Anolis sagrei: one gene and its partners. The protein of the gene in region 3 interacts with the protein of the main gene of each other region in a biochemical or structural test. Links are inferred from orthologs where the notes say so. Each region holds a gene or a part of one and is shown on either strand. Other genes may lie near its edges.

Region 1 (7,980 bases), on a different chromosome or scaffold from region 3:
TATGAGTGAACTACCTATCTATGTATGCACGAGGCCTCAGAATATAGGTGTTACCAAGGTGCTCAAGTTGTCATGTAAGTCCTGGAACGAGCATATCTCCCCCTGCCTCCCCAATGGATAGGATTTCTTGAACTAGGATTGGGCTGGGCTATGATTATGATCTAGAGCAGGGGTCCTCAAACTTTTTAAACATAGGGCCAGATCACAGTCCCTTAAACTGTTGGAGGGCCGGATTATAATTTGAAAAAAGCACGAATGAATTTCTATGCACAGTGCACATATCATTTGTAGTACAAAAAACACTTAAAAACAATACAATAATTAAAATGAAGAATAATTTTAACAAATATAAACTTATTAGTATTTCAGTGGGAAGTGTGGCCCTGCTTTTGGTTGATGAGATAAGATCGTTGTTGTTGTGTGCTTTCAAGTCATTTGAGACTTAGGTTGACCCTGAGCAAGGGCCGGGTAAATGACCTTGGAGGGCCGCATCCGGCCCTCGGGCCTTAGTTTGAGGACCCCTGATCTAGAGAATTATAACTGCAACATATACTCCTCTGCTGTCACAATTGATCAATTAGCAGAACATCTGATTTGGCTTTTCTCCCAGTGCTGCATGTTTCTCAACTGATACTGAGATTAATCCTATACAAATGTCTTTTTGGGGATGGTTAGAATTACTTCGGGGTTGGTGTGTGGTTTGTTCTCTGCACGCTGCCATAAAACAGAAGGGCCTTAAGAGAAGAAGGATAAGAACAGGAGTCTGTATTGGCTGGTCTGTTGTTCCAATGAAGCAAGAAAATTGTGGGGCCTTATCTGGAATGGATGAATGGAATATATGAGTAAGGTGTGATTTGTGTCCCCCAGGAAGAGAGCTTCAGGCATCCATTATTACCCTTTTGAAGTATCAGGGCCATTGTGGCTGAAAATCAGAGCTCACACCCCCTCATCTTGCCATCTGTTAGCATATAGATTGTTGTCAGTTTTTTTTTATTTTTGATACTCCTCTAATTTTATGATGTTATTTTCTTATTTTGTATATTGTTTGCAGTGAGCTACAGTGAATCCTCTTGAATGGCTTTAGCGTGTGTATCCTTCACACTTGGATAATTAACTGAAAAGTTTTCCTTTTCCCATCCCACATTTCCTTTTCTGTTCTCCCCAAGATCAGCTTTCCGTTCACCTCCTGCTTTAATGGATCACACATTTTGGGAACCTTTAAGTGGGATTATTGGTTTGGAACCAAAAGATTCCTATAGCTAAACTCATTTCCTCACATGTTCTCTCAGAAGTTTCATTGACTGCAACAAGGTAAATGTATATTCCAATGGTCCTTAACTTGTGGGACTCCAGATGTTTTGGCCTTCAACTCCCAGAAATCCTAACAGCTGGTAAACTGGCTGGGATTTCTTGGAGTTGTAGGCCAAAACACCAAGGGACCCACAGGTTGAGAGCCACTGGGGTATAGTAATGAATTTGGGATCCATGGCTCCTGTATTCAAAATGCGCTTCTATTGATTTTTGCTTATATTTGGCAGAGAGAATGCAGTGATTTGATCAGAAAAATCTTCTGCATAGTCACTCAAAGCATTTCTAATTAAGAAGATTCCACCTTGGATTAATTGACAGTGCTTTGCAGCCAGACATTTGCAGTACATCAGTTTCCTCTCCCTGAAATTCATACGGTACATTATTCCATACTAACTTTTAAATATGTTCTTAATAGACACAGATAGGGGGCAGCATTGCTTTATTCATTACTAAAAGCGACAAAACTTGGAAAGTCACATTTTGCCAGCAACATGTAGTGTAAATGCCGAGAAGCTGAACATTCACCCCATATCTCCCACTTATTGAAGAAATTGAAGAAATGGCTTTCACAAATACTTTTGAGTCACAAACACCATTTTATTTATTGTTCCCTCTGGTGCAGAAGCTTTTTTCAATTGTCCACAGTTCAGTTAGGTGATCCCTTGTTATCTGAGTATGATGGCCTTCTAAATTCAGTGTCTTGGCGGTGGATACGTAGGGAACTGTGGAGCCCTATTTTTGACCTACATGTTTTGCAAAAGTGAGGACATCGGTTTCCAGATGGAAGGTGGCCCCAGTCAGGGTTGGCTTGACGCACCTTCCTCTTGGTACGTTTCTCCCTTTTGCCCTCCATTCGTGCCTCTTCAGATTCCGCAGCACTGCTGGTCACAGCTGACCTTCAGCTAGAGCACTCAAGGGCCAGAGCTTGCCAGTTCTTGGTGTCTATGCCACAGTTTTCAAGGTTATCTTCAAGCCCAACTTTAAATCTCTTTTCCTATCCACCAACATTCTGTTTTCCATTCTTGAGTTGGGAGTATAGTAACTGCTTTGGGAGATGGTGATTGGGCATTCGGACAACGTGGAGTTGATGGCATAGGAACATCATTTCAATGCTGGTGGTCTTTGCTTCTTCCAGCACACTGACATTTGTCTGCCTGTCTTCCCAATAGATTTGCAGGATTTTTCAGAGGCAATGCTGATGGAATTGTTAAGCGTGACATCTGTAGGCAGTCCACGTTTCACAGGATTGTCCACAATATCTGTGCACAAGATCCAGTCCCATTCCCCTAATGTTTTATTATACAGTATACTGAGGAATCTACAAATGTTTCACATGTTAGCCACTGTTTCTTTGTTGCAGAAAGTGAACTCTGGCTTCTTCATTTCCTGCTCCAGCAAAGTAATGCAAGGACACTCTCTACTCACCACCCAGTAAGGGACTTTTACAAGGAAGTGTGTATAATTGCAGGAATCCCTTCCTTACCGATTATTCCACAGGCCCAGCATCCTATTGGACATGGAGCCTTACCTCATTTTGAAAGAGGTATTCTCTTTCCCTCTGCTGCCCAGTATCTATTCCATGCCTTCCAACATTTAACAGATGAAATCTGGGACACAAGTGGCAATCAACCATCAATGTGTGGTCAAGATAGCAAAAGTTAGTAATGAGGAAGATCAGGCAAACTAGGAGAGACTGTTGCAGTGTGCTTTTGTCTGAACCTCCAGAAGAGGTCAAGATTCTGCCACCTCCAATAATAGTAGTAATAATAGTAGTAAGATTTTTTTGGTGTCAGGAGTGACTTGAATAGTAGTAAGATTTTTTTTGTGTCATGAGTGACTTGGCACAAAAAAAGAGGGCCAATTCTCTCACAGTAGTCGTCGCAATAATAGTTGTTGTTGTAGTAGTAATAGTAATAATAATAATAATGTATATATTGCTTTATTTCTCTAAAAAGAAACCCACAACTGCTAACAACACTAAGATCAATACAACAATCCTCTTATCACTTTCCCATTTGAAGGAAAATTAAGCATCTTAGGTCTGGCTCTGCCTCTTACCTGTGTGCTGCAATCTCTGTTTTGCCTGGTGGAACAGAGACTCACGCTATGTACACCTCCCCAATAGCACCCTCACATTCGGAAGGCAGCAGGCTTCAAACTCGTGAATAATTGAAACTATGAATGTAAAACCGGTGAAAATTGAGGGCCAACTGTGTTGTCTATCTATTGTTATAGTGAAGTGATTAACAAAAGAGCTTAATAACAAGCACTCAAATATATTTTAGACACTGCAATAACAGCATCCTACTGGCATCCAAAACAAGCATGTGAGAAATGTTGTCTGTGGGCTTTTAAATCATCTAGGCATGCGTTCCATGTTGACACAAGCCAAGGTCTTGACTCAAGTGATAATGCCTGGGTTTTTGCACATGTGTGCTTACAGTCAGGGGCAGGGTATTCTAGGAAGCAATGTGTTGCTTGCTGTATTTGTTTATGTGTGATCGCTGAGAGCCAGCATAGTGTAATGCAGTGTTACTTAACCTGTGGGCCTACAACTCCCAGAAATCTCAGCCAGTTTACCAGCTGTTAGGATTTCTGGGAGTTGAAGGCCAAAACATCTGGGGACCCATAGGTTGAGAACCACTGGTGTAATGGTTTGAGCTTTGGACTATGACTCTGGAGAACAGTGTTGAAATCAAGTTTGGTCCAGGTTCGTCACCCGTGCTGGTCACAGTGGCCTATGAAAGTGAGAGCCAATCAGAAAGCTGCCAAATTAATCTCCCACACATACAGAAATACATACAAACACTGACTTTTATTATAGACTAGTTTGGGGACCCGGCGCTGCCTGGGTTATTTGAGAAAGGCATTGTGTGGCAAAGGTGTTCTTTATCAGTTAGTGAAGGTACTGTGAATCCCATCGAGCATGGTCCATCCTCCTCCAAACAGCCCCTGAATGTAGAGTGGGTTATGGTAGCTCTGTGTGCCAAGTTCGATCTTACTCTGTCATTGGTGAGGGTCACAGTGATCTCATGAAGTGTGTGAAGGTACTGCAGGTCCCATCATCCATGGTGAATCCTCCTTCATACCACAACAGGATGTAGAGTGGATCATGGGGGCTGCAGTGTTCTGTGGAAACCGAAGGGTTGGAAAGTACTACACATCCCATCATCCATTGTCTGTCCTCCCCCAAACCTCACCAGGAACTAAAGGGGGTCATGGGGGTTATGTGTGCCAAGTTTGGTCTTCATCGGATGAGGGTCGCAGTGGTCTTGGGAAATGTGTGGAGGTACTTGAAGTCCCATTATCCATGATTCGCCCTCCTCCAAACTACAGTAGGAAGTAGATTGGGTCATGGGGGCTCTGTGTGCCAAGTTTGGCCTTTATTGGTCTTTGTTGGGAGCCACAGTGGTCTCTGGAAACCGAAGGAGTTGAAAGTACTACAAATCCATCATCCTTTGCAGTCCACATCGTAAGTGAGAGAACATATTTGTTATAATTAAGGGAGTAGGAAGGAGAAAGATAGAATAAAAAGAAAAAGAAAAGACCCGGAAAAAAGAAGAAAAAAATAACAATAGGAATAAAAATAAAAAGTCTTCTTTCATGTCCCCACATGGGAAGCTGGAGCTGACAGAGGGAGCTCAACCCGCTTCTCCCTGGATTCGATCCTGCCAGCACAAGGGTGTAACCCATTGGGGGCACCAGGGGCTCCTGCCCATGCCTGCTCTGCTGTTTTTCCCAGCCTCTCTGTCCCGACTCTTCAACCGGGCTCCTTGCATGCAGTACGCGCTTGCGGCCGGCAGGTGGCGCGGGCGGCTTGCTTTTTCCGGCGCCTCTTTCCTTCCTGCCTGCCTGCCTTCTTTGCTTGGGCGCCGTTGCGAGGAGGCAGCTCCCCGGACAGCTAAGCGGGGTCCTCGGGCGCTTGCTGGCTGGCTGGCTTGCTTACCTTGGTGCCTGCTGACACTTCCTGCGCGGCTCAGTCGGCGGAGGAGGCTCGCCGGGGATGTGTGTCCCGCCGCCGCGCCTCCCCCACCGGCGACCGTTGAGGCTCCTGAGGCGGGTGGCCCATGGGCCCCGGAGGGCGGAGGGGGAAGGGGAAGGGGAGGCTGGCCCTGGGCCCGCGGAGGGCATCATGACTCCGGCCAGGTGAGAGCGGGGCGGATGGAGCCCCCGGAGAGCGGCTTTGGCGGCGGGGCTGCTGCTCCTTCTGCTGCTGCTGCTCCTGCTGGAGGCGCCTCCTCGTCCTCCGCCGCCTCCGCCACCTGCCCCAGCTCCCCGTCCTCGGCCAGCTCCGAGACCTCCTTGTGCCCCGAGCCGGAGAGAGCGCCCGCCTTGGGAAGGAGGCACAGCAAGAAGCGCTTCGGGCTCAAGATCTTCGGGAGGAGGTGAGCCCAGCAGGGAGAGGCGGCGTGGCCATCTGCCGGGAGTGCTCTCCCCACAGGCCGCCACGGGAGTTGTAGGCTTGCAGGATCTTTCCTGTAAAAAGACAGGATGCATCTACGCCAGGAATAGGCAAACTTCGACTCTCCAAGTGTTTAGGACTTCAGTCCCCACACAGAGAGGCGGAGATGGCCATCTGTCAGGAGTGCTTTGCTTGTGAGTTCCACTCCCCACAGGTGGTGGCAGGAATTGTTGTATTCCAGGATCTTAAAAAAAACCCCACAGGAATAGGTTAACTTCGGCTCTCCCGGTGTTTAGAACTTCTGTCCCCGCACAGAGGCGGGATGGCCATCTGTCAGGAGTGCTTTGCTTGTGTGTTCCACTCCCCACAGGTGGCCACAGGAATTGTAGTCTTGCAGAATCTTTCTTTTAAAACTCAGTATGCATCTAACACCAGGAATAGGCAAACTTCGGGTCCCCAGGTGTTTTGGACTTCCAACTCCTACACAGAGAGGAGGGATGGCCATCTGCCGGGAGTGCTTTGCTTGTGCGTTCCACTCACCACAGGCGGCCACAAGAGTTATAGTTTGGCAGCGTCTTTTTTAAAAAAAACACAGGATGTATCTACACCAGGAATAGGCAAACTTCGGCTCTCCAGGTGTTTTGGACTTCAGTTCCCAAACAGAGAGGCAGGATGGCCATCTGTCAGGAGTGCTTTGGTTGTGAGATCCACTCCCCATAGGTGGCCACAGGAGTTGTAGTCTTGCAGGGTCTTTTTAAAAAACACACACACAGGATGCACCTACACCAGGAATAGGCAAACTTCAGCTCTCCAGGTGTTTTGGACTGCAACTCCCACACAGACAGGCGGGATGACTATCCCTCGGGAGTGCTTTGCTTGTGCGTTCCACTCTCCACAGGCGGCCACAGGAGTTGTAGTCTTGCAGGATCTTAAAAAAAAAAAAACAGGATGCATCTACACCAGGAATAGGCAAACTTCGGCTCTCCAGGTGTTTTGGACCTCAACTCCCACAATTCCTAACATCTCCCCTAATATTATAATATATTGTGTACACATATAATATTGAAAATAATATCATACAATATAATGCTGATAATAATACAGTATAATAATTATATATGTTAATATTATTACAGTACAGTAGTATAGTACAATATAGTAATATATAATACTAATATTGTGCTGTGCTAATAATGTAATATATTGTATGTACATATTACTTGTAAGCCGCTCTGAGTCCCCTTTGGGGTGAGAAGGGCGGCATATAAATGTTGAAAGTAAATAAATAAATAATCCTCCATCATTGACCATGCTGGCCGAGGCCTCCTGAGTGTTGAAGTCCAAAATATTTTGAGAGAGAGGGAAAAAAAGGACTTTTATTCTCCAAATCTTTCGGACTTTGGCACTTGGGGGCCTCGGCCAGCACTGTGGGAGATGTAGTCTGTACTCTTTGCAGAGCCAAAGATTTGCCACCCAAGATTTGCCACCCAATCCTAGAGAGAACTCAAAGGTGGAGAAGTAGGTGCTGTGAGTTCTGTTTTGCCAAACAGCAGAAGGGAGGCTCCCCAAAGCAAAATAATACACTGGAGTGTGAAGAGATGCTGTCCACGTGTTCCTTAAGACTGTCCATAAAATTGTATACAGAATATATAAGAACTATATTTACATTACATGTGAGAAATGAAATCTTGCGAACTGAATATTGTACACTGTTATTTTATTGTACCTCAGAGCTCTTTTGTGGTCCACCCTGCACATCATCAAGCCTTGGGAAATGGAGCAGGAAATCATTGTTACTCTAAAGGATTCACAATCTTGTCTGTAATCACAACATGGCTTCTAAGCCAGTGGTAACAGATGTCGGGCTTGTGGGGCTTTGTAATTTCATTGTTTTTGCCATGTAGAACTGGGTTAGGGAATAAATTGAAACACTTATTTTCATTGGCAGTCCTTTCACATGCGTACACAGGCCCGGCATTGCTGGCTATTTGCAATAGGAAGTCTTGCGATATTGTCTGGTCTGGGCATATTTCACAAATTTACACAAGAACTCAAATTATATCAACATGTGAAGAGAAGCAGGAAGTTCTCACGGACCCCATATGTGTTGCTTTTGGGACTATTTTACCAGGCCAACATGGCTACTGATACAAATAATAATCATAATAATCCCAGGTGACAGCAAAATTGACGAGAAGCAACTTGAAAAGCTTACACAATATGAGGATTTAAAGATCAAACTGCAAAGACTCTGGCACAAGCCAGTA
Region 2 (8,113 bases), on a different chromosome or scaffold from region 3:
TGTCTTCAACACAATTACACCATCATAGTGGTACAAATGTGTCTTATTCTTTTATTTTTGAGGATGTAGTGTAATGGGCATTTCTGTGGGAAGTAATTGCTCAAGTCCAAAATAGTGACTATACATATAAATGCTTCAAATAGATTTGAACCAATTGGGATGAGAACCATTCAGCCCTTGAATTGAAGCTCCCATCTTCCCTCACTATTGCTTGTAGTACATGGGACAAAGAACTTTGAGGGTCTCATGTTCCCCTGTAAAAGCAAAAGTGACATGGTCAGCACCCTTGGAGGACTTGCTCATAGTAACAACCAATAGTAGGAGCCCTGATACTTACCTCTTCATTTGCCCCAAATGTTCTCTCATTCTCCTTTTCCAAATGAATTCAAACACTTTGTATTTTCTTTTTTAGTTCCATTTTTGCTTTCCAAGGGTCACAGGGATTTGTCCCTCCCCTTAAGAGTTCTTGTTATTAATGATTTTCTATATTGAAGTTGGAATGAGACAAAAACAGTTTTGGTGTGATGTCGGATAATAGTTTTTATTCATTTTAATATGAAACAGCAAAAAATACAACAGTCTTTCATAACTTGTAGCTTTTTTAGGTGTTTTGGACTACAGTTTCTTTTGTCCACATCCATCAGATTGTGCAAACCTAACATACCCATTTTGAAATGTGAATAGCTTTATTCTTGTATTATACAAAATGAGTAAATTCTTGTTAAAGCCATAGTATTGCTCCCTTGCTTTTACTTTTGTCCTTAAATGAACTCATAAAATTCATGTGAAAAATGGCCAAGGAACAATGAGGAGACAGTCAAGAAAGACTCCATCATTCATCACAAATTGATAGAATACATTTTTGGGAGTTTGAGATAGGGTGATCTGGTGGGATTCAGGTATCTTGACCTACAATTCCCATAATCCCCAGGCTGTAGTTTCTGGTCAGGGATTATGAGAGCATTAATGTAGGTTGTTTACACTGGTTTACAGACATGGCCAAACTTCGGCCCTTCGGGTCTTTTGGACTTCAACTCCCAGTAATCCCAGGCAGTTTACCAGCTGTTAGAAATTATGTGAGTTGAAGTCCAAAACACCTGGAGGGCCAAAATTTGCCCATGCCTGGTTTGGGGTGTCCTACATAATTTCTTGGCCTCATGTAATCCGCCCCAAGTCCCCTCGGGGAGATGATGACGGGGTATAAAGTTTTATTATTATTATTATTATTATTATTATTATTATTTCTGGATATCGGAAGCCATATTTGAAGTTGGCTGTTGGTAGGCTACTGTGTTGGTTTATTTCTTCATTACATTTATATCCAACTGTTTTGTTTTCCAAATTGCTCAGAGTGGGGAATATAGTTCTCTCAAGTTTTACTCTAAAACCTTGTGAGGCAGATGGGACTAAGAAATGGCTTAGCACCTGCTGAGTGGGTGGGTATTTCCAACCTCTTAGATCCACTGAGGAGAGGACAAACCATGTGGAATAACTAAATATGAAACCCATCATCTCTTTTTTAAATTGAAATGCCTTGCTCCTTTCCTTAAAATGGTTTTCTCTGGGTTATTTAGGTATGTAGGAGGAGAAGTGGGCTGTGAAATAAGGCATGCATCTTCACTATACAATCCAGGGCTTATTTATTTATTTCATGTCAAAAGCATTGCATAAATAAAAGATGGGGTTTCCCCTTGACATTAAGTCTAGTCTTGTCCAACTCTGGGGAGTGATGCTTATCTCCATTTCTAAGCCAAAGAGCCGGCATTGTCCATAAATGCTTCCAAGGTCATGTGGTCGGCATGGAGCGCTGTTAACTTCCCGCCGGAGCTGTGCCTATTGATCTTACATTTGCTTGTTTTCGAACCATTAGGTTGGCAAACGCTGGAGCTAACGGCAGGAGCTCACTCCACTCCACGGTTTCAAACCACCGACCTTTTGGTCAGCAAGTTCAGCAGCTCATAAAGCTGATGAAATAAAGGGAGCACTAGCAGCTAAATAATTTTAGACCAAAAACACACAACAGCAACCTCATTGTCTGTAGTTTTAAACAGTTCTTCCTCTGTACATGAGGCAGGACATTGTGGGCAAGCATACATATGCAGTTATTTGTTCTGCTTCACAGTCACACAAGATGGAGGATTCTTCTAGATAGTGCCATTTTGCCAGCTTGTCTTTTGATCTAACAACTCCACTTCTGAGTCTGTTCAGGGACTTCCAAGTGGCCCATTCTTGGTTTGCCCCTGGAGGAAGACCCTCGCGGGGTGCCATCCAGTTGGGATTGCCTGGTTTAGCTGCCCAGAAGGATAGTCTTCCTGTTGCTGGAGGAACATACAGAGGAGTGATGGTTCTCATGAAACTTTCCCTTGATTTAAGACTACCGGGAATAGGTTGATAGCCATGCAGTGGTTTGCTTTCTCAGTGTTCAACCTTATTTCTCTCGCAATTAGGAACAACTTCCAGTCACACATTGGGGGCGGGGCAATGCCAGCTAGCTTGAAGAGCAAGCACAAGCAAACTTTGGCCCCCCGGGTGTTTTGGACTCCAACTTCCACAACTCCTAACAGTCTCGGGCCCTTTCCTTTTCCCCCTCAGCTGCTTAAGCGGCTGAGGAGGGAAAGAAAGGGGCCTGAGGCTGTTAGGAATTGTGGGAGTTGGAGTCCAAAACACCTGGAGAGCCAAAGTTTGCCCATGCCTGTTGTAGAGTCTATGAACAGGTGAAGGTTTAAGATATCCTGTGATTATTCTACATATCTCATTCAGTGCTAGATTCACCTGCTTCACATGGGGCAGGCATACTCAGCAGTTGAGTAAGACAAGGCCAGGACTGAGGAATAAGTAGTACTCTAAAAGTTGTTGGTCTGTTACATCATTGATCGGACCCATTGTAGTAAATGGTGTGGGGGTTGTCGTCATTTAGTTCTGCTGCAAGTAGTCTTCTCATTTATCTACCCAACATTTAAGCAAATTTTGCTTGATGTTGCACAATGTATCTAAGCTGAATATGTTAATCTCTTGGGGAAAAGATTTGACTTTAAAAGTAAAGGTAAAGGTTTTCCCCTGACATTAAGTCTAGTCATGTCTGACTCTGGGTGGTGATGCTCATCTCCATTTCTAAGCTGAAGAGCCAGCGTTGTCCATAGACACCTCCAAGGTCATGTGGCCGGCATGACTGCATGGAAGGCCGTTACCTTCTCACTATTGATCTACTCACATTTGCATGTTTTCGAACTGCTAGGTTGGTAGAAGCTGGGGGTAACACTCACCCTGCTCCCCGGATTCGAACTGCCAATCTTTCAGTCAGGAAGTTCAGCAGATCAGTGGTTTTAAGCCGCTGTGCCACCAGGGGGCCCTTTAAAAGGTTTTATTAATTTGCATGCATTTTGTTGTTGTTCATTTGTTTAGTCGTCTCCGACTCTTCGTGACCTCATGGACCAGCCCACGCCAGAGCTCCCTGTTGGCCGTCACCACCCCCAGCTCCTTCAAGGTCAGTCCAGTCACTTCAAGGATGCTATCCATCCATCTTGCCCTTGGTCGGCCCCTCTTCCTTTTGCCTTCCACTTTCCCCAGCATAATTGTCTTCTCTAGGCTTTGCTGTCTCCTCATGATGTGGCCAGAGTACTTCAACTTTGTCTCTAGTATCCTTCCCTCCAATGAGCAGTCGGGCTTTATTTCCTGGAGGATGGACTGGTTGGATCTTCTCACAGTCCAAGGCACTCTCAGAACCTTCCTCCAACACCACAGTTCAAAAGCATCTATCTTTCTTCACTCAGCCTTCCCTAAGGTCCAGCTCTCACACCCGTAGGTTACTACAGGGAATACCATGGCTTTGACTAGGCGGATCTTTGTTGCCAGTGTGATGTCTCTACTCTTTACTATTCTATTGAGACTGGACATTGCTCTCCTCCCAAGAAGTAAGCGTCTTCTGATTTCCTGGCCACAGTCTGCATCTGCAGTAATCTTTGCACCTAGAAATACAAAGTCTGTTAGTATAGGACAAATCTGTGTCTGAAAACACAAGAAAAATGTGATGCAGGTGTTCTAGATTGTTCCCTATGGGAAACTCAGCGTATGGGTACAGCTACACTGTAGAATTGATGCAGTTTGATCCTACTTTAATGACTATGTCTCAAAGCTGTGGAATTGGTGTAGACTGGTGAGGCACCCGAACTCATTGGCAGGGAGGGGCAAAGCCCTTGGAAAACTACAACTCCCAGGATTCTATAGCACTGTAGTGAAAAGGGTTTCAAAGTGCATCAGTTCTACAGTGTGACTGCCCTTTATGCCAATCCTAACGGAGCAAGCTTGCTTCGATATTGCCCACTGAGTAGGCATCCTTCAGATATTCACCAGCCTTAAAAAGAACTCGAGTGTGGAAGGAAGCAATCCGCTCTGGGGAGGCGGGGGAGGCTGCCTTGGCTGCCTTGGAAGCAACAGCGAGCAGTCCTCGCTTCCTCGCCATCGACGTCCAAGAGGGGAAAAAAAAGGGAGGCGGAAGTCGGATGTGGGCTGAATGGGAGCTGCGTAATCCGGAGGGGCTGTCGATTTAGAAGGGGCTATTTTGGGGAACGTCGTGGAGGAAGTTTCAATGGAAAGCGGCCAAAACCTTGAGCTGGACTCGGTGCCTATTTGCGGGGGGTGGGATTGCAACCGCCTCGCTGCGCCCTGATTGGCGGGGAAACCGATCAGTCAGCAAGAGGTGTGCCAGCCAAGGAAGCATCTACACACTGGAGAATGAATGCAGTTTGAGACCCATTGTATTTACAATGGCTCAGTGCTATGGAATAATGGGAGTTGGAGTTTGCTGGGAGAAGGCTTGTAAAACTAAGATCCTAGACCCAAAGCGGTTAAGCCACAATATTATGTGGATGCGGAGGGCCTAATGCAGAGCCTGAAGCAGGGGCGGGGCTCTCTCTCTCTCTTTTGGGGAGGGGGGGCTGGGGGGAAAGGGGCGTGGTTACGAGGCGCGCGGCCGTAGAGTCTACGGACGGAGGCGTGTCCTTTCCAGGCGCCGTGATAGGCTGTTCCAGTCCCGGGTCTACTTTGCATGTGGCTCGCGATTGGCCGGCTGGGAGGGAGGGAGGCGGTGGGCGCGCGCTCCAGGGCAGGCGAGCGTCTCGCGGCCGGTCTGGAGGGGGCGTCGCGTGCCAGGTTTGAGCCATGGTGCAGCTGCAGCAGCAGCAGCAGCAAAAGGAAGAGCAGCAGCCTGGGCGATCGTGGAGGAGGCGGCGGCTGCCCGGGCTGTGAGCATCGGAGGGCACCTCCACCAGCCGGGATGGGGCGGGGGTGGCAGCCGAGTCTGCCCCGGGCTCTGGGTCGCCTCCTCCTCTTGCTGCTGCTCCCGCCACCGCCGGCATTGTCAGCCCTTGGGGATCGCCCCTTGCAAGTGCTGCACGGTAAGACTCGGGGTGCTCGAAATTGAGGGGCTTTTGAGGTCTCACCGTGACTGCCTCTGCTGTGCTGCTGCTTTCTGGGGGGCCTTCCACCCAGCCCTATATCCCAGAATATCAGGGCAGATAATGTGGGATTTCCTGCCTTGATATTCTGGGATATAGGGCTGGGTGGAAGGGCCCTAGGTTGGCATAGGGATGGTAACAGCGGTCCTTTGGCTCCTTCGGTCCCATATGGTAAGGTGCAGCTTGCTCTGCAAAGCGCTGGCTTGGTTTCTTTTTCGTTCCCTCCATCCAAATCAACTCTCTTCTCTTTGGAAAAATCATCCTTTCCAAAGCAAGGTATCCCAACGTCAATCAGTGGGCTTCCATGGCTGAATCGTGGTCTCCCATTGCCTTGGGGGGGGGGGGGGGGGTGGGGGTCGTCTACACTGTATGATGAATGCAGTTTGGCCCCACTTGCAATGCCGTGGCCCCCTAATACGCCCAGGGGCGGCTCAACCCATTACGCAAAGTAAGCATTTGCAGTATAGTTGATTTTGCCCAGGGGCGCTCTTGAGGCAATCTTGGGGGAAAATAGACCTTGACATATGCAAGTTGTAGTTACTGGGATGTATAGTTCACCTACAATCAAAGAGCATTCTGAACTCGACCAATGATGGAATTGAACCAAATATGACACACAGAACTCCCACGATGAACAGAAAATATATATCAGTGATTGGTTGGGGGGGGGGGGGCGCCAAAATACTATTTGCTTACCGTTGTAAGTTCTCTAGGGCCGCCTCTGAATACGCCCACCTTCTGCAAAGGCTGTCTGTCCCCGTTGCCCTTTCATCGGAGAGCTTTGAGTGCTTCCAAACCATGCAGTACCTGCCAGTAAGTCCTACATCACTTGGAAAGACGAAACAGGACCCTCTCAATAGGTCCTGCATCACTTTTCTGGGAAAGATCCACCTCCTCTACGCCCCACTCGCCCACAAATATGGGTTGTGCCCCGTGTTACCCTTCCCTTTCTCCTTTTTGCTCCCTGAAAATCCCTCCCCTTCCAATGCCATAGAAGGGTGGGTGGCAAGCTCTTTTCCCTTCTTGGAAATGTAGCACATGCTCCTCTTCTTCCTTGGCCTAACTCTCGCCTTTTTGTGTGTCCCCGATTGAGGATCCAACCCCCTCTGGAGTGATATTGTCACCATTTTGCGTGGCAGCCCAAGATGCTAACGTCACAGCCTTATCAGGGTCGCCTAGCTCCCTCTTTCTCTCCTTCTCTGCTTTTTCTTTCCCGCCCCCTTTTTTACTTCCAGAGTGGATCTCTCCATCTCCCTTTTTCCCTCCCCCTTCCATGTTTTCCTTATTAATTCAGTCCCTGACGTCATGCTTTTGCTGGGCCTTTTTCTCCATCTTCCTTGCTTTCCCGTTTCCAGCTTTTGAGCCAGCTGCCTGTTGCAAATGTCAGCTGCACCCTTCCTGCTTTAACTGGGCTTCCTTTTTCTATTAATGCTGGGATTCCTTCTAGCAATGAGCATTGATGTTTCTTCCATCTTTCCCCCTCACCACACCCCTCATTCCCAACTGAAAGCCCACACAAAGTGGTGAGGAAGTGCATCCCAGTATCCTTCCTGGCTCTGCTTATGGTTTTCTGCTTCCTTGTTTGCAGAATTAATCTCTAAGTCAGTTTTGTGAGACCGCAGCTGGAATTGGCACAGTTGGTTCAATAAGGCTCTTTGTTTGGCTGCTCTCAGATTGGGGCAATTATTTGGTCCTTCAGATTGTGTTGGACTGCATCTTCCATCAGCCCCAGCCCAGGATAGCCAGCGATGAGGAGTGTTGGGAGGTGCAGTTCAGCAACATCTGGAGGACCTTGCTTGGCTCATACTTGTCCTATACTCTTGGGTTGTGTAATTCAGCACTAAACCAGGCATGCAATTGAAGAAGATGGATGGATAATAACGTCTTACATAGACTTCAGAATTCAAGTAACTAGAACTATCAAACAGCCACAAAAAAGAAGTAATGTAGTGCTTTAAGTAAAATACTGTGTTTATAATATAGTAAAACTGTGTTACATTAAATTCGGCTTGTCTTTATTTGCTTTTAATTATTGCAATATTAATATTAAGTCGATATAGTAAAACTGTGTTATATTAAATTCAGTTTGTCTTTATTCGCTTTTAATTATTGCATTTCAATATTAATATCAAGTTGATATGAAGTTTATAGTATAGGATATAGTATCAGTTAGGGCTGTTTTTAATAGTAACTCTCAAGCAACCAGAAACTATTTTTGTCTGGCATCTACCAATTCACATGGGTGCCAGTTAACTGACAGTCCACTGTAAAAAAAAAAACTGTTATAAAAGGTTTTCATGGCCGGAATCACTGGGTTGCTGTGAGTTTTCGGGGCTGTATTTTTATTTATTTTTATTTATTTATTTGGTATGCTTGTATACCGCTAATATCTCAGCCTGTGCGGCGACTCATTGCGGTTTACAACATGTTAAAATATACAATTCATTTAAGCATATAAAATTAAAATAAAAATACATACAAAAAACATACACAGTATTGGGCCACCAATACAGATCGGGACATCTCATAGTTAAAATCATCATCCAATTCGTTATCTTGATTGCTAATCCATGGTCAGATAAAACATCACATCGAAGGTCAATTGAAGACTTGCTCAAACATCCAGGTTTTTAGTTTTTTCCTAAATGCCATTAGCGAGG
Region 3 (7,568 bases):
CACTGAGTCACCTTCGCGGGAAATAAAGCAAGGTATAAATGCATATAATAAAAATAGCAATAGGTTTGAGTGATTTTACTTTTAAGTGTTACTATTTGCATTATGTGTTTTTGAAATTTCATTTTTTTTTTAAAAAAAGTGACATGTTCTGTGTTTTAAGGAGGAGGAGGAGGAGGAGGACGTTGTCCAGGGGAACGCCAGGATGTTTTGATGTTTAACCATCCTTGTGGGAGGCTTGGAGAGCTGGAGCTGACAGAGAGAGCTCAACCCACTCTCCCAGGGATTCGAACCTCTGACCTGTCAGTCAGCACTCCTGCTGGCACAAGGGTTTAACCCACTGCGCCGCCAGGGGCCCAGTAATAATAATAATAATACTCCTGACCTCACAAGTATGGATCGTCGATGTTGTAATCCCAGGCGACAGCAGGATTGAAGAGAAACAACTGGAAAAGCTGACACAAAACGAGGATTTAAAGATCAAACTGCAAAGACTGGCACAAGCCAGTCAAGGTGGTCCCACTGGTGATTGGCACACTGGGTGCAGTGCCTAAAGACCTTGGCCTGCACTTAAGCACAATTGGAGCTCACAAAATCATTATCTGCCATCTGCAAAAGGCCACCTTACTGGGATTAGCACACATTGTTCGCTGATAATATCACACAGTCCTAGACATTTGGATGATCCAATAAAACAGCCAGAAGAGCGATCTTGTTTGCTGTGTACTAATCTTGTGTTTCAATTAATTAATTAAGTAAGTAAGTAAGTAATGGTGGAACATTACCCTCATTAAATGATGTGGGTAATAAATACAATAAACGCAGCACCATAAAACACATACAATGCACATATGAAAACACATTACCATAAAATACATATATTAAAATATGTGGAACAAAGATTGAAATACAGTAGTAATAGGATTTGAAATTGACCAGGTATATAATTGTATTTATATGCTACTTTTCCTCTTTTAGAAGTGGCTCCAAGGCCCAGGCGGGATCCCTTCCTGCTCAAGAGCATTAAATGGTGTCTCTTCCCTCCTTTAAGGAGATGTCCTCAGGAGGCCGGACGATTACATAGCCTTCAGAATTAAAAATAGGCCGTTTCCTCCTTGTCCCGAGGATCAGCAGCAAAGCTCTGGCTGCTGGACCTCACGCTGCGAGATCAAAGATCAAATCAGGGGTCAAATCCTGCCTTCTCTGTGCCCTGAGAGGCACTTGAGGACATTCAATGGGACAAAAAGCAATCCCACAATAATAATAATAATAATAATAATAATAATAATAATAATAAATGACGAAATCATGATCTGCAAAAGGCCACCTTACTTGGATCTGCACGCCTCATTCGTAAATGCATCACACATTCCTAGACACATGGGAAGTGTTCGACTTGTGATTTTGTGACATGAAATCCAGCAAATAGATCTAATTTGCTGTTACATACTGTGTCAGTAAAATAATAATAATAATAATTTTGCAAAGACTTGGACAAGCCAGTAAATGTGATCTCAGTGGTGATTGGCACACTGGGTGCAGTGCCTAAAGACCTTGGCCTACACTTAAAAACAATCAGTGCTGACAAAATTACCATCTGTCAGCTGCAAAAGGCTACCCTACTTGGATCTGCATGCATTATTCGCTGATACATCACACAGTCCTAGACACTTGGGAAGGGTCCGACGTGTGATCCAATACAACAGCCAGCAGAGTGATCTTGTTGTGTTTCTAATAATAATAATGTTTACCTGTTAGGTAATGGTAAATGTTTTCCCTGACATTAAGTCCAGTTGTGTCCGACTCTGGGGAGTTGGTGCTCATCCCAATTTCTAAGCTGAAGAGCTGGTGTTGTCCGTAGACACTTCTAAAGTCATGTGGCCTGCATGACTGCATGGAGCACTGTTCCCTTCCTGCCGGAGCAGTACCTATTGATCTACTCACATTTGCATGTTTTCAAACTGCTAGGTTAGCAGAAGCTGGGGTTAACAGCGGGAGCTCACGCCGCTCCCCAGATTCGAACCTGTGACCTTTTGATCAGCAAGTTCAGCAGCTCGGTGCTTTAACCCACTGTGGCACCGGGGGTTTACCTGTTACCTGCTTGATATTGGCAACACCTAGTTCATATAAGCCAGTGGTTCTCAACCTGGGGGTCGGGACCCCTGAGGGGGTCACCAGGGGCTGTGAGAGGGGTCGCCAAAGCCCGTCAGGAAACACAGTATTTTCTGTTGGTCATGGGGGTTCTGTATAAGAAGTTTGGCCCAATTCTATACTTTGTAGGGTTCAGAATGCTCTTTAATTGAAGGTGAACTATAAATCCCACAACTGCAACTCCAAAATGCCAAGGTATATTTCCCCAAACTCCACCAGTGTTCACATTTGGGCATATTGAGTATTCATGTAGAGTTTGGTCCAGATCCACCATTGTTTGAGTCCACAGTGCTGTCTGGAGGTGAACTACAACTCCAGACTCAAGGTCAATGCCCACCAAACCCTTCCAATGTTTTCTGTTGGCCATGGGAGTTTTGTGTGCCAACAGGGGCGGCTCAACCATTACGCAAAGTAAGCATTTGCAGTATAGTTGATTTTGCCCAGGGGTGCTCTAGGGGGAAAATAGTCCTTGACATATGTGAGTTGTAGTTACTGGGATGTATAGTTCACCTACAATCAAAGAGCATTCTGAATTCCACCAATGATGGAATTGAACCAAATATGGCACACAGAACTCCCACGACAAACAGAAAATATATATCAGTGATTGGTTGGGGGGGGGGGGCAAATTACTGTTTGCTTACCATCCAAAATTACCTAGGGCGGCCTCTGTGTGCCAAGTTTGGTTCAATTCAATTATTGTTGGAGTTCAGATTGTAGGTGAACTATAAATCCCAACAACTCGAACGCCCAAATAACAAAATCAATCAATCCCCCCTCCTCCCAATCCCACCACTATTCAAATTTGGGCATGTCGGATATTTGTGCCAAATTGGATATAGTGAAAAAAACATCCTGCTTATCAGATAATTGCATTACCATTCATAACAGGAGCAAAATTACAGTTATGAAGTAGCAAAATAATGTTATGGTTGGGGGTCACCACAACATGAGGAACTGTATTAAGGGGTCGCAGCATTAGGAAGGTGGAGAAACACTGATATAAACAGATTAAACGTATTGTCGAAGGCTTTCATGGCTGGAATCACTAGGTTCTTGTGGGTTTTTTCGGGCTATTGGGCCATGTTCTAGAGGCATTTCTCCTGACGTTTCGCCTGCATCTATGGCAAGCATCCTCAGAGGTAGTGAGGTCTGTTGGAAATAGGACAATGGGTTTATATATCTGTGAAATGGCTGGGGTGGGGCAAGGAGCTCTTCCCTGCTGGAGCTAGGTGTGAATGTTTCAACTGACTACCTTCATTAGCATTTGAAGGCCTGGCTGAGCCTGGGAAAATCTTTTGTTGAGAGGTGTTAAGATGTGCCCGCGCCCCTTTACCTAGCCAGGCCCCGCCTCTTTCCTCTTGCTCCTCCCCATTCTGAATTAGCCCCTCCCATCTATTGTCCTCCTCTAGCATTACAGCCAATGAGGCTCCTTCCTCTTTTCCCTCCCTTGTCTTCTCCAGGAGACCACGCCCCTTTCTTATCGCCCCGCCTCCCAAAGGGTGAGGCTCCTCCCTCTTTCTCACCCCGCCTCCTTTCCCTCCCAGCCAATGGGTTTCCTCCTTAGTTGCCCCGCCCCTTTTCCTTTTTCGGTTGCCTCCCCTTCCAACTCAGGTCCCGCCTCTCCCTTCCTTAGCAGCCAATCGGACTCTGTGGCTGCGGCTCCTCCCCTTTTCTGTTCCCTCTCCTCCAACGCGGGCTTTGGGCTAGGCCCCGCCTCTCCCTTCAGTGGCACCCAATAGAGGCTGTGGCTCAAGCCCCGCCCCTTTAAGGTTCCCTCGTTTGACTAGGCCCCGCCTCTCCTTACTTGGCACCAATGGGACTTTGTAGCGGAGGCCCCGCCCCTTTTCTTTCCCCTCCATTCCAACGCGGGGGTTTAACTATGCCCCGTCTCTCTCTTCCTTGTCGCCCAATGGGACGGTGTGGATGAGGCCCCGCCCCTTTTCTCAGCCTTAGTTCCCTCCTCCTCCCGCCTCTCCCTCACTTGGGACTTTGTAGTGGAGGCCCCGCCCCTTTTCGTTCCCCTCCCCTCCAACTTTTAACTATGCCCCGCCTCTCTTTTCCTTGACATCCAATGGGACGCTTCGGATAAGGCCCCTCCCCTTTTCTCAGCCTGAGAGGCCACGCCTCTTTTGCCTCTCAGCCAATGGGCCATCTCCGAGGAGACCCCTCCCCTTTCTCCTGAGAGACGCCGGCTCAGTCTGAGTCGAGCTACGGCGGGAGAAGGACGCGCGACGCTCGGCTCCCCCGATGGCGGTGTGGACGCGGGCGTGCAAGGCCGGCCTGGTGGAGGTGCTGCTCCGCGAGCGCTGCTGGGTGCGGGCGCTGGCCGAGCTGAGCGGCGAGGCCTTGATCCTCAGCTCGGAGCCGGAGCCGCCGCTGAACGGCCTCCCGAACGGCTCCGAGTGGGGCAGCCCCGGAGTTGGGCGGCGCAGCGAGGCCGGGTCCAGCTCTCCGGAGCTGCGAGGGGCCGCCTCGGCTTCTCCGCCCTCCTCGCCGGGCTCCCCGCCGCTCCTGCCTTCTCCGCCGCCGGGGGTGCGCCGCGTGCGGGTGGTCAAGGCCGAGGCCGGCGGGCTGGGCATCAGCATCAAGGGCGGGCGCGAGAACCGCATGCCCGTGCTCATCTCGCGCATCTTCCCCGGGCTGGCAGCCGAGCGGAGCGGAGCTCTGCGCCTCGGGGACGCCATCCTCTCCGTCAACGGCGTCGACCTCCGGGAGGCCACCCACGACCAGGCCGTGCAGGCCCTCAAGCGCGCCGGGAGGGAGGTCCTCCTCGAAGGTGAGCCCCGAGAGCCGGCCTGGGACGACCTGGGCCTTCCCTTCGCGGGTTTGGGACTTCAGCTCCCACCATTCCTAACCAAACCCTCCCGACAGATGGCCAGCCAACCAGAGATGTCACTGAGATAGAGAGAGAGAGATGCTTTTCTCATAGAGGCACCCCAAAGGCCATCCAGTCCAGCCCACTTTTTCTGCCAGGCATCATCCAAACCCTCCCGACAGATGACCATCCAGCCAAAGATGTCGTTGTTATCCCCCAAGGAGCATCCAGTCCAAGCCCATTCTCCTATATTGGAAGACACCATACAAACCCTCCCAACAGATGGCCATCCAGCCAAAGATGTCATTGATATCCCCCAAGGGTCATCTAGTCCAAGCCCATTCTACTCTATAGGAAGACACCATACAAACCCTCCCGACAGATGGCCATTCAGCCAAAGATGTCGTTGATATCCCCCAAGGGGCATCCAGTCCAAACCCATTCATCTGTATAGGAAGACACTATACAAACCCTCCTGACAGATGGCCATCCAGCCAAAGATGTCATTGATATCCCCCAAGGGGCATCCAGTCCAAGCCCATTCTTCTATATAGGAAGACAACATACAAACCCTCCTGACAGATGGCCATCCAGCCAAAGATGTCATTGATATCCCCCAGGGATCATCCAGTCCAAGCCCATTCTACTCTATAGGAAGACACCATACAAACCCTCCCGACAGATGGCCATCCAGCCAAAGATGTCGTTGATATCCCCCAAGGGGCATCCAGTCCAAGCCCATTCTACTCTATAGAAAGACACCATGAAACCCCTCCGACAGATGGCCATCCAGTCAAGGATGTCATTGATATCCCCTAAGGATCATCCAGTCCAAGCCCATTCTACTCTATAGGAAGACACCATACAAACCCTCCCGACAGATGGCCATCCAGCCAAAGATGTCATTGATATCGCTCAAGGGTCATCCAGTCCAAGCCATTCATCTGTATAGGAAGACACCATACAAACCCTCCTGACAGATGGCCACTCAGCCAAAGATGTCATTGATATCCCCCAAGGGTCATCCAGTCCAAACCCATTCTCCTATATAGGAAGACAACATACAAACCCTCCCAACAGATGGCCATCTAGCCAAAGATGTCACTGAGTTGGATAGGGAGAGAGAGATGCTTATATCATACAGGCACCCCAAAGGCCATCCAGTCCAGCCCACTTTTTTTCTGCCAGGCATCATTCAAACCCCCCCCCCCCCCGACATATGGCCATCCACCCACAGATGTCATTGATGCATATGTATGTATGTGCGTGTACCCCCCAGTGGTCATCAAGGCCAAGCCCATTCTGCTCTATAGGAAGACACCGTCAAATCCCTCCCGACAGATGGCTATCCAGCCAAAGATGTCATTGATATCCCCCAAGGGTCATCCGTTCCAAGCCCGTTCTGCTATATAGGTAGAAACCATCCAAACCCTCTCAACAGATGGCCATCCAGCCACAGATGTAATTGAGATATGTGTGTGTGTATATATATATACACACATACACACACACCCCAGGGGTCATCAAGTCCAAACCCATACTGCTCTATAGGAAGATACTATCCAAATCCTCTCAGCAGATGGCCATCCAGCCACAGATGTAATTGAGATATGTATATATATATATATATATATATATATGTATGTATGTATACCCCCCCCCCAAGGGTCATCCAGTCCAAGCCCATTCCGCTGTATAGGAAGACACCATACAAACCCTCCCAACAGATGGCCATCAAGCCAAAGATGTCATTGATATCCCCCAAGGGTCATCCAGTCCAAGCCCATTCTCCTTTATTGGAAGACAACATACAAACTCTCCCGACAGGTGGCCATCCTGCCAAAGATGTGATACACACATATCACAATAACATCTTTGGCTGGATGGCCATCTGTTGGGAGTGTTTGTATGGTGTCTTCCTATACAGGAAAATTGGCTTGGACTGGATGACCCTTGGGGGATATCAATGACATCTGTGGCTGGTATGGCCATTTGTTGGAAGGGTTTGGATGATGCCTGGCAGAAAAAAAGTGGGCTGGACTGGATGGCCTTTGGGGTGCCTTTCCAACTCCAGCCAAAGATGTTATTGTGATATGTGTGTATCCCCCAAGAGTCATCAAGACTAAAGCCCATTCTGCTCTATAGGAAGACACCATCCAAACCCTCCCGATAGATGGCCATCCAGACAAAAATCCCTCTCTCTATATATATGTGTGTGTGTGTGTGTGTGTGTGTCCCAAGGGTCATCAAGTCCAAGCCCATTCTGTTATATAGGTAGACATTATCCAAACCCTCTCGAGAGATGGCCATCCAGCCACAGATGTAATTGATATATATCCCCAGGGGTCATCCAGTCCTGCTGTATAGGAAGACACCATCCAAACCCTCTTGACAGATGGCCACCCAGACAAAGATGTAATTGTGAGATATATCCCCAAGGGTCATCCAGTCCAAGCCCTCCCGATAGACAGTCATCCAAACCCTCCCGATAGACAGCCATCCAAACCCTCCCGATAGACAGCCATCCAACCCTAAGAGGGCCGTAGATTTGATTGCAAGAGAGATAGAGAGAGGCTAGAACAGGCCTGGGCCAACTTTGGCC

What was found. The genes of interacting proteins can lie anywhere in the genome.
Region 1: the proteins of SNTB2 (region 3) and DGKZ form a complex in vitro, tested with the Homo sapiens proteins (2 studies listed by BioGRID and IntAct, with this or other methods). The link is inferred for Anolis sagrei from reciprocal best matches to the Homo sapiens genes SNTB2 and DGKZ.
Region 2: the proteins of SNTB2 (region 3) and PTPRN form a complex in vitro, tested with the Homo sapiens proteins (2 studies listed by BioGRID and IntAct). The link is inferred for Anolis sagrei from reciprocal best matches to the Homo sapiens genes SNTB2 and PTPRN.

The regions. Positions count from the first base shown.
Region 1 is NC_090021.1:278,501,328-278,509,307, forward strand, and holds the start of DGKZ (diacylglycerol kinase zeta), read left to right. Parts: upstream 1-4,899; 5' UTR 4,900-4,914; coding exon 4,915-5,696; intron 5,697-7,980. UniProt on the Homo sapiens protein: Diacylglycerol kinase that converts diacylglycerol/DAG into phosphatidic acid/phosphatidate/PA and regulates the respective levels of these two bioactive lipids.
Region 2 is NC_090021.1:230,540,050-230,548,162, reverse strand, and holds the start of PTPRN (receptor-type tyrosine-protein phosphatase-like N), read left to right. Parts: upstream 1-5,032; 5' UTR 5,033-5,044; coding exon 5,045-5,393; intron 5,394-8,113. UniProt on the Homo sapiens protein: Plays a role in vesicle-mediated secretory processes. Required for normal accumulation of secretory vesicles in hippocampus, pituitary and pancreatic islets.
Region 3 is NC_090028.1:28,608,073-28,615,640, forward strand, and holds the start of SNTB2 (beta-2-syntrophin), read left to right. Parts: upstream 1-4,355; 5' UTR 4,356-4,398; coding exon 4,399-4,927; intron 4,928-7,568. UniProt on the Homo sapiens protein: Adapter protein that binds to and probably organizes the subcellular localization of a variety of membrane proteins. May link various receptors to the actin cytoskeleton and the dystrophin glycoprotein complex.